3 linked regions of the Xenopus tropicalis genome follow. The protein of the gene in region 1 binds, or shares a complex with, the protein of each later gene. Links are inferred from orthologs where the notes say so. Each region holds a gene or a part of one and is shown on either strand. Other genes may lie near its edges.

Evidence for each region. Proteins that work in one complex are often made in the same cells at the same time.
Region 2: the proteins of ywhaz (region 1) and map3k5 are in contact, whole or in part, in a crystal structure (PDB 6EJL), measured with the Homo sapiens proteins. The link is inferred for Xenopus tropicalis from reciprocal best matches to the Homo sapiens genes YWHAZ and MAP3K5. Residues at the interface, in NP_001129171.1 of Homo sapiens: Val46, Lys49, Asn50, Arg56, Lys120, Arg127, Tyr128, Glu131, Gly169, Leu172, Asn173, Val176, Tyr179, Glu180, Ile217, Leu220, Asp223, Asn224, Leu227, Trp228; in NP_005914.1 of Homo sapiens: Ser964, Ile965, Ser966, Leu967, Pro968, Val969.
Region 3: the proteins of ywhaz (region 1) and cdc25c are in contact, whole or in part, in a crystal structure (PDB 5M36), measured with the Homo sapiens proteins. The link is inferred for Xenopus tropicalis from reciprocal best matches to the Homo sapiens genes YWHAZ and CDC25C. Residues at the interface, in NP_001129171.1 of Homo sapiens: Lys11, Glu14, Gln15, Glu39, Val46, Lys49, Asn50, Arg56, Arg60, Val61, Ser64, Lys120, Arg127, Tyr128, Glu131, Gly169, Leu172, Asn173, Val176, Glu180, Asp213, Leu216, Ile217, Leu220, Asn224, Trp228; in NP_001274511.1 of Homo sapiens: Gly210, Tyr212, Arg213, Ser214, Pro215, Ser216, Met217, Pro218, Glu219, Asn220, Leu221, Asn222, Arg223, Arg225.

What each region holds. Positions count from the first base shown.
Region 1 is NC_030682.2:130,813,701-130,816,605, forward strand, and holds part of ywhaz (14-3-3 protein zeta), read right to left. Parts: intron 2,096-2,905; coding exon 1,972-2,095; intron 529-1,971; coding exon 365-528; intron 279-364; coding exon 183-278; intron 1-182.
Region 2 is NC_030681.2:59,037,058-59,041,197, forward strand, and holds the start of map3k5 (mitogen-activated protein kinase kinase kinase 5), read right to left. Parts: upstream 2,807-4,140; 5' UTR 2,623-2,806; coding exon 2,172-2,622; intron 1-2,171. UniProt on the Homo sapiens protein: Serine/threonine kinase which acts as an essential component of the MAP kinase signal transduction pathway. Plays an important role in the cascades of cellular responses evoked by changes in the environment.
Region 3 is NC_030679.2:48,003,901-48,007,928, forward strand, and holds the start of cdc25c (M-phase inducer phosphatase 3), read right to left. Parts: upstream 2,807-4,028; 5' UTR 2,723-2,806; coding exon 2,706-2,722; exon of another isoform or gene 2,476-2,705; coding exon of another isoform or gene 2,474-2,475; intron 1,164-2,473; coding exon 936-1,163; intron 1-935. Other genes in the region: oocyte-specific histone RNA stem-loop-binding protein 2, read left to right, coding at 3,608-3,621. UniProt on the Homo sapiens protein: Functions as a dosage-dependent inducer in mitotic control. Tyrosine protein phosphatase required for progression of the cell cycle. When phosphorylated, highly effective in activating G2 cells into prophase.

The sequences.
Region 1 (2,905 bases):
CAGATTTCTGCCTTTTGCTCCCACACTACTTCCTGTTACAGTTAGAGTTGCATTATTTCCTGTCAGCTGATCTCTGAGGGAGCACACAGCCCATCGGGGGTATAGTTAATAATAATAATAATAATAATAATAATATGTGCAAATCAGGATGCTTTGATGAAAGCAAAGCCTCATTGACTTACTGTTAAGTTGTCTCTCAGTAACTGCATTATTAATGTGCTGTCTTTGTAGGACTCTTCGCTCAAAGTGTCAAGCTCAGCAATGGCTTCATCAAAAGCCTAAAATGGCAGAAAAGCAGAGGTTATTGCGGATAACTGCTGCTGGTGCCTGGTAATGCGCCGGCAGAGCGAGACAAAACACTTACGGCCTTTGCAAGAGAACACGCTTTCTCTGGACAATTGAGGATCTCATAATAGAACACAGAGAAGTTCAGGGCCAGACCCAATCGGATAGGATGTGTTGGTTGCATTTCAGTTTTGCTGATGTCAAAAGCATCTTGATATGCCTTCTGTGACTGGGCCACGATATCTAGCAACACAGAGTCACATGTTAGATTGCATGTACATTCTGCTTATATTCCATTAAATGTAAAGTGGGCACCAACTGAAAGACTAAAGAATCTGTGTTACATTAGAGATTTACACTTTTCATGCTCTGAAATTCCAAAACCACATTCCACCCCAGCAACGGTGCATTCAGAAAACACAAGCTGGATAAATAGGGCAGATTTTTGGCAATTGGTCTTATGGACAAATATCTATGGTTCCGTTTCTGGCACCAAAGAAAATGCACACTTTTACTTTAGCACTTCCTGGTTCTGTTGTGGGCAGGAGAAGCTGATCACACTAATTACCAGGGCACTGAAGCCCTCTGATAATGAGCTGCTCAAAGGCTGGAGAAGCTCAGGAAAGGAAGGGGTTTATTTGTTCAGAGGCAGATAATCTCTGAATCTCCCCCCTCTACCATTATAAACATGGCAGTGAAAAAACAGTGAAAAAAATAGTGCTTTATAAATGGTAAAAAAAAAATAGGCAAAATGCATTCTAAACACTAACTGTGTTGTGGTTCTTTTGTAAACTAGGGCAGTTTTTGTCAGACTTTCAGTTTATGTCCCTTTTGTTACAAGGGTTAGGTCATGGCCCCTCTTAACAAGGAATAGCAAAATATCTGTGTATTAGCCATTTTCCCAAGAACATTTAGGACAACAATAATGTTTTCACCCCAAATCTCACCCTAACAATTTCATGCTGGGCTTTCTGGCGTATCTTGGAGGCCTTTGTAGTAAAAAGTCCCCTCCTGTTCCAAGTCCCAGAGTTTGGGACCCAATAGATAAAGCTAAAATAACATGTCAGGACAGTCAGGTTGGCTTTAAGTAACAACTACTTACAAAAGCAGCCGTATCAGCGGAAAATGCTCAACCTGGCCTATAGGTACTCATGTGAAAAAAATTAGGAAATATGAAACTATGAAACCCTGTGTGTTCTTGTAACATTCTTGAACATATGGATATTTAATCTCAATTTCAACAAAACAGGGAGATTCAAGTAATATAACTAAACAATTAAAATTGAAGAAAATACTTCTGTAAAATGTAATTCTACAAAGTGCCATTTCTGGTGAAGAATAAATCAGGACACCCCCATTTAGACCCACTTAAAATGGCTGAAACAACACACAGGTGTATCCCATCAGGTGCACATGATTAGAATATGGTTACTCAGCATTTGGAAGGAGCTTTGCCCTAGTTAAACCTCAGACATTTAGTTTGATTGTACCTGACTGGCTGGAAACTAAGAAATGGAAATTTTGTGGCTGTACAACCTCTCAAACATCTACTGAGTTACTGGGTGATGCTTCACCATTTTCATAGCACCATTAGAGAACCATGCCCCCTCCAAGGCTGGTGCTTGAGTAGTGCCTGAGCTGAAGGATAAGCTCCTAAGGATGCAGTCTACGCGCAACAACACCCACCTGCCTTTGCGTCGCCAGAAGCTACTTCAGCCAAGTAACGATAATAGTCACCCTTCATTTTCAAATAGAAAACTTTGCTTTCCGGTTGTGATGCGTTGGCAATCAAGAATTTGTCCAGAAGATTCTGCAAAAGACAAAAAAAAAATGCAGGTTCAAATACAGTGATATGGGAAATACACATTCAAAATCTGTGCGTCAGGTACATTGGCAGATGCCAGCAATTCCAATAGCCCAGCAACACAAAGGGAAGGAACCACAGAACAGAGAGAAAACAATAATTAGATAATTACATTCAACATAAACTTTCACTAAAGGGTAAATAGTCCCAAAAACTTGCAATTAAAAAAAAAAAAAAAGGGCAATTCTAAGCAACTTTCCAATATTCCTTAAACATGCAATAATTTTAAGTCATCTTTTAATGCAGTACAGTAATATGCTTTATGGCTAAATTCAGATCTCCCTTCCCCCCCCCTTTTTTTTTTAAAGAGGCAGTATACTTCCCACTTCAATGAATAGGGCTTGTGCTAAACCAGTGACCCCCAACCAGTGGCTCAGGGGCAACATGTTGCTCCCCAACCCCTTGGATGTTGCTCTCAGTGCCCCCAAACCAGGGAGTTATTTTTGAATTCCTCACTTGGGGGCAAGTTTTGGTTGAATAAAAACAAGATTTCCTACCAAATAAAGCCCCTGTAAGCGGATAGTGTGCATAGAGGCCCCTAATAGCCAATCTTAGCCCTTATTTGGCACCTCCATGAACTTTTATGGTGCTTGTGTTGCTCCCCAAGTCTTTTTACATTTGACTGTGGCTCACGAGTAAGAAAGGTTGAGGATCACTATGCTAAACATTATTTGTCTACTGTGCTGAAGGGGATATACTGTTACTTTAAGGGACAGTAACAAGTTTTAAGTTTTTATTGTACCTTCAGAACAATGG
Region 2 (4,140 bases), on another chromosome or scaffold:
TGTGCCATACTTTCACTGTGTGTGCCATTCTTGGCTGGTTTGTGCCATACTTGGCCTGTGTGTGCCATACTCTGCCTGCCCTACCCTGCCTGTGTGTGCCATACTCTGCCTTCCCTACCCTGCCTGTGTGTGCCATAATCTGCCTTCCCTACCCTGCCTGTGTGTGCCATACTCTGCCTTCCCTACCCTGCCTGTGTGTATGGCAAACACAGGCAGCCTACAGTGACAGAATGCTGGCACTGCTCCAACAGTCTGCACAATAACTATATATTAAAAAACTTTTTAATTGCAGTACCACCTCAGTGTATGTTGCTTTTGTAGTGTGCAGGGTTTATTTGTGGGTTTCTACTGCTCCTGAGGTGTGAACAGGAGAACAATGGGAGTGATTACAGCCTGAGCCTGAGGTTTGAACACTGCAGGGGGTGAACAATGCAGGGATTAAAAGGTGTGAACAGTACAGGGGATTACATATTTAAACAATACAGCCTGATTACAGCCTGAATCTGAGGTGAGAACCATGCAGGGGGGGCCAGTTAATCACAGTACTGATACCATTTAAAGCTTACACAAGAGTAAGCCATCAAAGCAGCCAGACAGGTGGGGGGCCACACAGAGGGGGGTCGAGGGCCGCATGCGGCCCGCGGGCCGCCAGTTGGACAGCACTGATCTAGCAAATGCTAGAATGGCTTTTGTATGCTGCCATATATCTTTTCATATATAATATTCTTAGATTACCATTGCCCACTGCTCCTCACTAATTATTGTACTCTCATACTCTCATTGTATAATATGATACGGATGTTACTAATTACCCATTTGTCTTATGGCATAGCTGGTCAAAACACAGTGAACACCAGGGGGACGATTCATTAAAGTACGAATTCCGAGTACGATTTGCAACAATTTGCAATTTCTGATGTGAGTTAATTTTGCAAAAAGTCGCATCATGCTTGTACGAAAGTATAGTGGTTTGATACGAAAGTTACTAAATTTTCGTATACGAAAGATTGGAAACGGCACAAAAAACTTTCTGACTTTGAAACTTCTGTGCATGTTTTTGGAAGCCTCCCACAGGACTCAAAGGCACTCTGCAGCTCCAACCTGGCCCAAGGAAAGTAACAATACTGAAGCTTGAATGAATTCCGAAACTTTCGTACTAGTTGTGACAAATACGATTTTGTTGCACAAATTGTTGCAAAGTATGAAAAAGTCACGCAAATTAAGGAAAAAAAATTGCAGAAAATACGCACAGTTCTAAAACTTAAGAAAAATACAAATTTTTAGTATTCAGGCACAATAGTACATTGATGAATGTGCCCCCAGGTGTCTGCCTTTCAATGAGGGCTGCTAGCACATACTACATATCAACAAAGTAACTAACTAGTGTACAGTTTGCTCCAGATCAACCAGCATTTTAAAAATAATATTTCTTGGTGTATATATATATATATATATATATATATATATATATATATATATATATATACCAAAAAATATTATTTTAAATTTTTTTTGTTATTATATATATATATATATATACATATATACATATATATATATATATAGCACTGTCACATTTTACAGAGATTATACATCATTCACTGCCCCAGTGGAGCTTACAAAGTTTTCCATCACAAAGAGGGGGCAGTTTTATCAGAGACCAATTAACCTGACTGTATGGTTTTTGAAGTAGGGGAAGAAACCCATGCACACAGAGGAGGGAGAGCATACGAACAGTAAACATGGGCCTCATGATAAGATTAAGGGCGAAGACACACGGAGCTACTTAGTAGCAGCTACTTGTCACGGCTACTAAATGCCAGAAAAAAACCCTGCCATAGACAATACTGAGAATTGCCTTTGCTAAAACACACCTAGAGACAGCTATCAGTATATGATCAGCATTGTCTGTTTTAGTAGCCATGACAAGTAGCTGCTACTAGTAGCTCTGTTTGTCTTCTCTCAGGACTTCCCCTTTCTTCCCACCAAGACTGTTACCCAGTGTCAGGCTGGGCCTCCAACTGTGAAACTGACCTGGTGTGCACACCCTCACATATGATCTGGAGTCAATACTAAATATGATTATCACCTTGAACAAGGGTGGAAATAAAAATACCAGATCTGGTGCCCATCATCTAATACTCTAGCATGTCAGTCAGACCCTCTATTACCTGCATTGTAGAAGGTGTCTAGCACTGACGTCTCGCCAAAGTCCAGTTTGCCGAAATCCAGGGTCTCAAGCAGTGCCCCATGGTTCTCACATGCCTCCTGCAAACTGTATAATGCAGCAGCCTCACAAGCATGCAACTCCGGACTTACTTCATTGATAACATATACCACAGTAATCCTACGAAGGCTAATACCTCCGCTAGCTGTAGGAGGGGGGTTAACCCACTTTCCATAGCATGGGGCATCTTTACCACTTCCAACCGCTGAAGCACGGAGGTAATCTTCACGCCAGAAGCTTCCAGCTTCAGGGATCCTGGTTCCACCGCATATGGTGGCATTTTCCTGTAGCGTAAGCCCTCCTGTGTCTTCATGAGCACAGCAGCTTGAGCCAGGCAGCCGTGAGCATGGTACAGAGAAACTGATTCCTTCGCTGCTGTCACTCATTACTTGCATTCAGTGTACGGTGTCCATTTTAGGACAGTTGTGTGCAAAATGACAGCGAGCCCTACTCTGTTACTAAAAATTATTCCATAAATTAAGCTCTGATTAATCCCCCCATGTGTAAGTGATTGTTCCGGGCTGTTCCGAGCATACTTTTTCTGTCCTGCTTCCTCCTCCTCCTTCCCCTCCCTCTCTCTTGTCTCTGACCACTTCCTTCCATCCTGCTCACTGGTTCCTCTGAGTTGAAGCATTCTACCTGCTAGCTACAAGTAGTCGACTGATCTGGGCTACAGCCTATTTCTTCTTTCTGCACCCTGATTCCTCAATTCTGCAGCATTCTACCTACTCCCAACTCCTTGATTAGTCCCTGCTGCAGCATTCTGGCTGATTCTTCTGGTCTGTTATATCCTACCACTCCCAAAGCCCTTGTATTTTGGCTGTTAAACATACAGAGTCATTGAGCTTGATGAAACCATATTATCTATTTTTTTTTAACTTCAACAAAAATCAAAATGTAAACATGGATATTAACCTATATCATAAAGCAGTCACTAAATACAATTGTATGCTTTTCCTGTGCTTAAAATGAACTGATCTTTTGGCTTTTAATGGGGGTACCATTATGTTTCTAACAATAAGTTATATTTCACACTCAAATTACTTGCCAGCACAGTTATGTAAAATTATGTAAATGCATAAAATAACTTTAGGCATTGTTAGAAATGTAACTATGCCTAAAATAATTACGATCCATTCACTCCTGAACCCTAGGGAGGAGCATGTAGAACGTTGCTGCTCAAATAATCAGGTACATAGTAAGTTAGGTTGAAAAAAGACATAAGCCCATCACGTTCAACCATAATGCCTATATATAACCTGCCTAACTTCTAGTTGATCCAGAGGAAGGCAAAAAACCCCATCTGAAGCCTTTCTAACTTGCCGCAGGGGGGAAAAAATTCCTTCCTGACTCCAAGATGGCCAGTCCCTGGATCAACTTGTACTAAGAGCTATCTCCCATAACCCTGTATTCCCTCACTTGCTAAGAATCCATCCAGCCCCTTCTTAAAGTTATATAATGTATCAGCCAGCACGACTGATTCAGGGAGGGAATTCCACAACTTCACAGCTCTCACAGTAAAAAATCCTTTCCGAATATTTAAACGGAACCTCCCTTCTTCTAAACGGAGTGGGTGCCCTCGTGTCCGTTGGAAGGGCCTACTGGTAAATAAAACATTAGAAAGGTTATTATATGATCCCCTTATATATTTATACATAGTTATCATGTCACCTCTTAAGCGCCTCTTCTCCAGTGTAAACAGACCCAACTTGGCCAGTCTTTCTTCATAACTGAGACTTTCCATACCCTTTACCAGCTTAGTTGCCCTTCTCTGGACCCTCTCTAACTCAATCATGTCCTGTTTGAGCACTGGAGACCAGAACTGAACAGCATATTCTAGATGGGGCCTTACCAGCGCTGTGTAAAGGGGAAGAATTACACCCTCCTCCCGTGAATCTATTCCCCCTTTTAAT
Region 3 (4,028 bases), on another chromosome or scaffold:
TATAAACAGTGCACTGAAGAAAATTAGGAAAAAGGAATATATGGACGGTTTCTTAAAGGAAAGAATATACAGCATATGTCACAATGCTGCACACACAATAAACAGGTGATGTTTTTCTCTGCCGTTTTTTACATAGCATGTCCACGCTGTCATGAAGCTCCTAGGTTCCAAGCATTCCTGCTCCCTTGCAGCCATTAAAAATTACCAGTTATATTTTAAGACAGACAGTACATGTGCAGATAAAAGCTCCTGTTTCAGGCCCTCCAGCTTATTGGCTTGTGTATGGGTTCCTCCAAAGACCTTACTTTTATATTGAGCCTCTAGAGAAGCAAAAAACAAAATAGAAATGCTAAAAAAAAAAAAAAATAGCTGACCTCACCAACTGATAAATTCTACTTTACAATGTACTCTAACTTCTTTGCTAAGACCTTTATTATGACCACTAATCACTTCAAATAATTCAAAAGCTTAATGTTTCTGAGACTCTTCAGCAACTTGCACATTTGTTTTTAGGTAATCACCATAGCAGGTAATGGGGAAGGTGGTCAATTTGAGGCAAACTGGCAATGGCTCCCAAGCATCTGAAATCATCAGTTTGTGATGCCCTTAAAACAGGGGTCCTCAAACTACAGCCCGCGGGTCGATTCGGCCCCCCAAGATCATTTACCCAGCCCCCACTGGTGTGATGCGGTGACACGCTGGGGCCGAGGACAATGCTGAGGCAGACAGGTAGTAGCCAGGGGTGAGGATGCAGCGGGGGCATAGTTCGAGGACTAACTATAGTCCAGCCCCCCCCAACAGTCTGAGGGACCAAGAACTGACACCCTGTTTAAAAAGTTTGAGGACCCCTGCCCTAAAACATATACAGAGCACAAAATAACCAGTTCTGCAAATTTCTCTGCATGCAGGCTTTAGAATGCCGAGCTGATATTTACCCAGTGAAGGTACTTAGGTTACTAAATCCAACAGCAAGGTCAGTGACAGGTGTCAAAGGCTGTTCAGGAGAAAATGTAACTGAGGAATCTTTTTCACGAAGGAGGTTTAATATCATTCTGCAATTTGTACGGAAATGCAGGCCTTGGTTGGACTTTGGGGGTGCTTCTGATGACATTATGTGATTCTCTGCCATGACTTCAGCCGAGCCTCCACTACTTGTCTGGAACCTGTGGTGCAAATGAAATACATAGTTATAGCACAAAATAAAAATGAAAGATCTGCAAACATGTGTTTTATACAAAACTCACAAATCTGTTTATTTTGTTATGAAAAACTTTCATATACTCTATGAGAACAATGAAGGTTATTACCATAAAGCTTGACTCTACAGCCATGTTTTTATTAATATACCCAAACATCTTTTATTTCAACTCACACAACAAACGTGCATTTTGGAGCCCTCCTTCTGACTAACATGTTTAATACCACCGATTGGGCACCTCAGATGCCTCATAAAAATTTTAAGCAATTTTAAAGAACAGTATTGCCAAAAAAAAGAAAGATCTGCGTTGAGATAAAATATAGCCTACCCTGGTCTGGGGCATTCAATGTGACTTAAATAGATAGAAAATAATCCAATTGGGTTTAATTAATGTTTTATTGATTTTTTTTAGTAGACTTAAAGGAGAAGGAAAGGCTAAGTCACTTGGGGGTGCCAAAATGTTAGGCACCCCCAAGTGACTTTAATCGCTTACCTTTTACCCCGGGCTGGTGCCCCTGTTGGGATAAAACCGCACCAGCCTGGCGTAGCTGCAGCAAGTGTTCACTCTTCCTTTGTGCGCTTGTGCAGTAGAGTGAAAAGCCAAACCTTAACAAGAAAGTGGGCTTTTTCACTCTACTGCGCATGCTCTGGCCCAGGGATTCCAAAGAGAGAAGAAATAAGGAAGAGGAAACGCTCAAAGACAAGCCAACCCAGAATATAATTTTTTGCCTAATAAGAGAAATTCTAAGCAACTTTGCAATATACATTCATTACAAATGTATAATGGTTTTTGAGTTATTTGTATATATAACTGCTATTAAAAGTAGTGTTTGTCAGTCATTTTTTATTTTCTGCCCTGGTGGCTTTGACTGTTGAAACAATTTAGCAGATACAAGGCAGCAGCCTGACAGACCTGTATTGCTGAAGGAGACTGACGTTTGCAATATTGTTTAAAAAGTAACAACCAGGAGTTCAGCAAATGCTGCTTTCTATAGCAATTACAATTAGCTATTAAAGCACTGAAAATTAGCCTTGGTATATAGGGACGGCCATGCGTCAAAGAGTACATTTTAAAGATTATTTATGACTCTTATTATATACTATTTAAGTACCTCTAAGTACAATATCCACTAGAGTGCAATACTCACTCCACCTGATAACATCAGGGCAATATTATTTGAGAAAAGGCTACAACATGCATGTATAAAGCAGGGCACAGATCATCACTACTGAACAGAGGTCACTAGAATGACAAGTTTAATAAGAACTGCTTACATTCGGGGGTTACACGCTCCTTAATTATCGAACCGACTCTCCATCGCCAAGTAGTCTGCGTCTGAAGCAAGTTATCATGTGTCCAGAACACCCTTCTACCCCTACAGCATCTGCGTGCACTTTTATTTTACCATTCGAACCCCTACTACGATACCAGTTACAGATACAACGTAGCAAAAAAAAAACAAAAAACCGAACACAAAATTAAAATCTTCCGCTTAGAACAACTAACCAATCACAAGAGAGCATCCGGGTCACAACTCACAAAAGCACCTAGAAAGGCTGTAGGACAGGGAGGTCCGTTGGGATAGGCTACAAGACAAGCTGTTTGAAACAAATATCTGTAATAATTGGCTGATAAGAGCGCGTCACAGGCAGCGCAGTCTCAGATTGGTTTAGTTGTTTTAGAGCTCTTCCTGGTCCCTGTTGCGCTCAGTGATTCGCTATCTCGTTTGTATTATGCATGCAGGGCGCGCCCACTTTGCTGTGGCGGGGTGTTTAAAGAGCAATGGCTGAGTAGCTTTAGTCAGCTGTTGTCTGAGCCATGCAGCGGTAATAGAGGGAAGCGTGCTGTTTGAAGTTGGTGTTCTACGATGAGCTTGTGTTGCTTTTTCTCCTCCGTTCTTTGGAAATTCTGTAGCTTTCCTATGCTGGAGTGGTTATGCTCACCCACTGGCTTAATGCTCTGTTTTGCCTGGCTGGTTGAAGGGCTTTAGAGTAGTGTGGATTTGACGTGTAATCGTTTTGTATTTGGTAGCTCCTGGCAGTTATTAGAAGTCTGCTTTTGGTATTAAAAAAAAAAAATGTATCTGGTTTTGTAATAATACATTCACTTCAAATGTGGAAAATGCTGTCAGGTTATTTCAGTGTTTTACATGGAAACATCTTGAGTTCTCTCTAATTCTGTTTGGATCTATGGGGCTCATTTGTAAACACTTGGCAAATTTGCACCTGGTCATTAACCCATAGCAGCCAAGCAGTAATTAGCCAGCTTTAGGTTAAACACTAAAAGCAATCATCTGATTGACCATGGGTTACTGCCCAGGTGCAAACTTACTCAGTGTTTACACATAACTTCAATTTTGTGCTTAAAATCTTGTTGCTGTCTTAATACAGGTTCCATATAAAATCTTCATGCTGCATGACTGGTTAGTAATTCTGCCCTGTTGTATGCTGTACGTTTTATAATGGTTCTCTAGCAAGAATATAATACGCATCAGAAAGGATTAATAATGTGGCATGTATTAAGAAACTGGAATACTTCTGGGATACATTTGTGCATTATCTAGGGAGGGAGGACCTGTAAAAAGCTTGATGGCCTTCAGGAATAGGGGCAGTAAAGCTTAACCTGGAATTGTAACCATTTTCTCTAAAACTTTTTGTATATGTATATCTTTGCTGCGCAGGTTGCATTGTCACTGTTTAAAATCGCACTTTATATAAATTCACTGCATGGATGATTTGTGTACCATTTATTATGCTACATTTGAGCTGATTATCACAGCAAACTTTTTTTTGTTCTAAACCAAAAGGAAGAAAATTTTACATTAAAGCT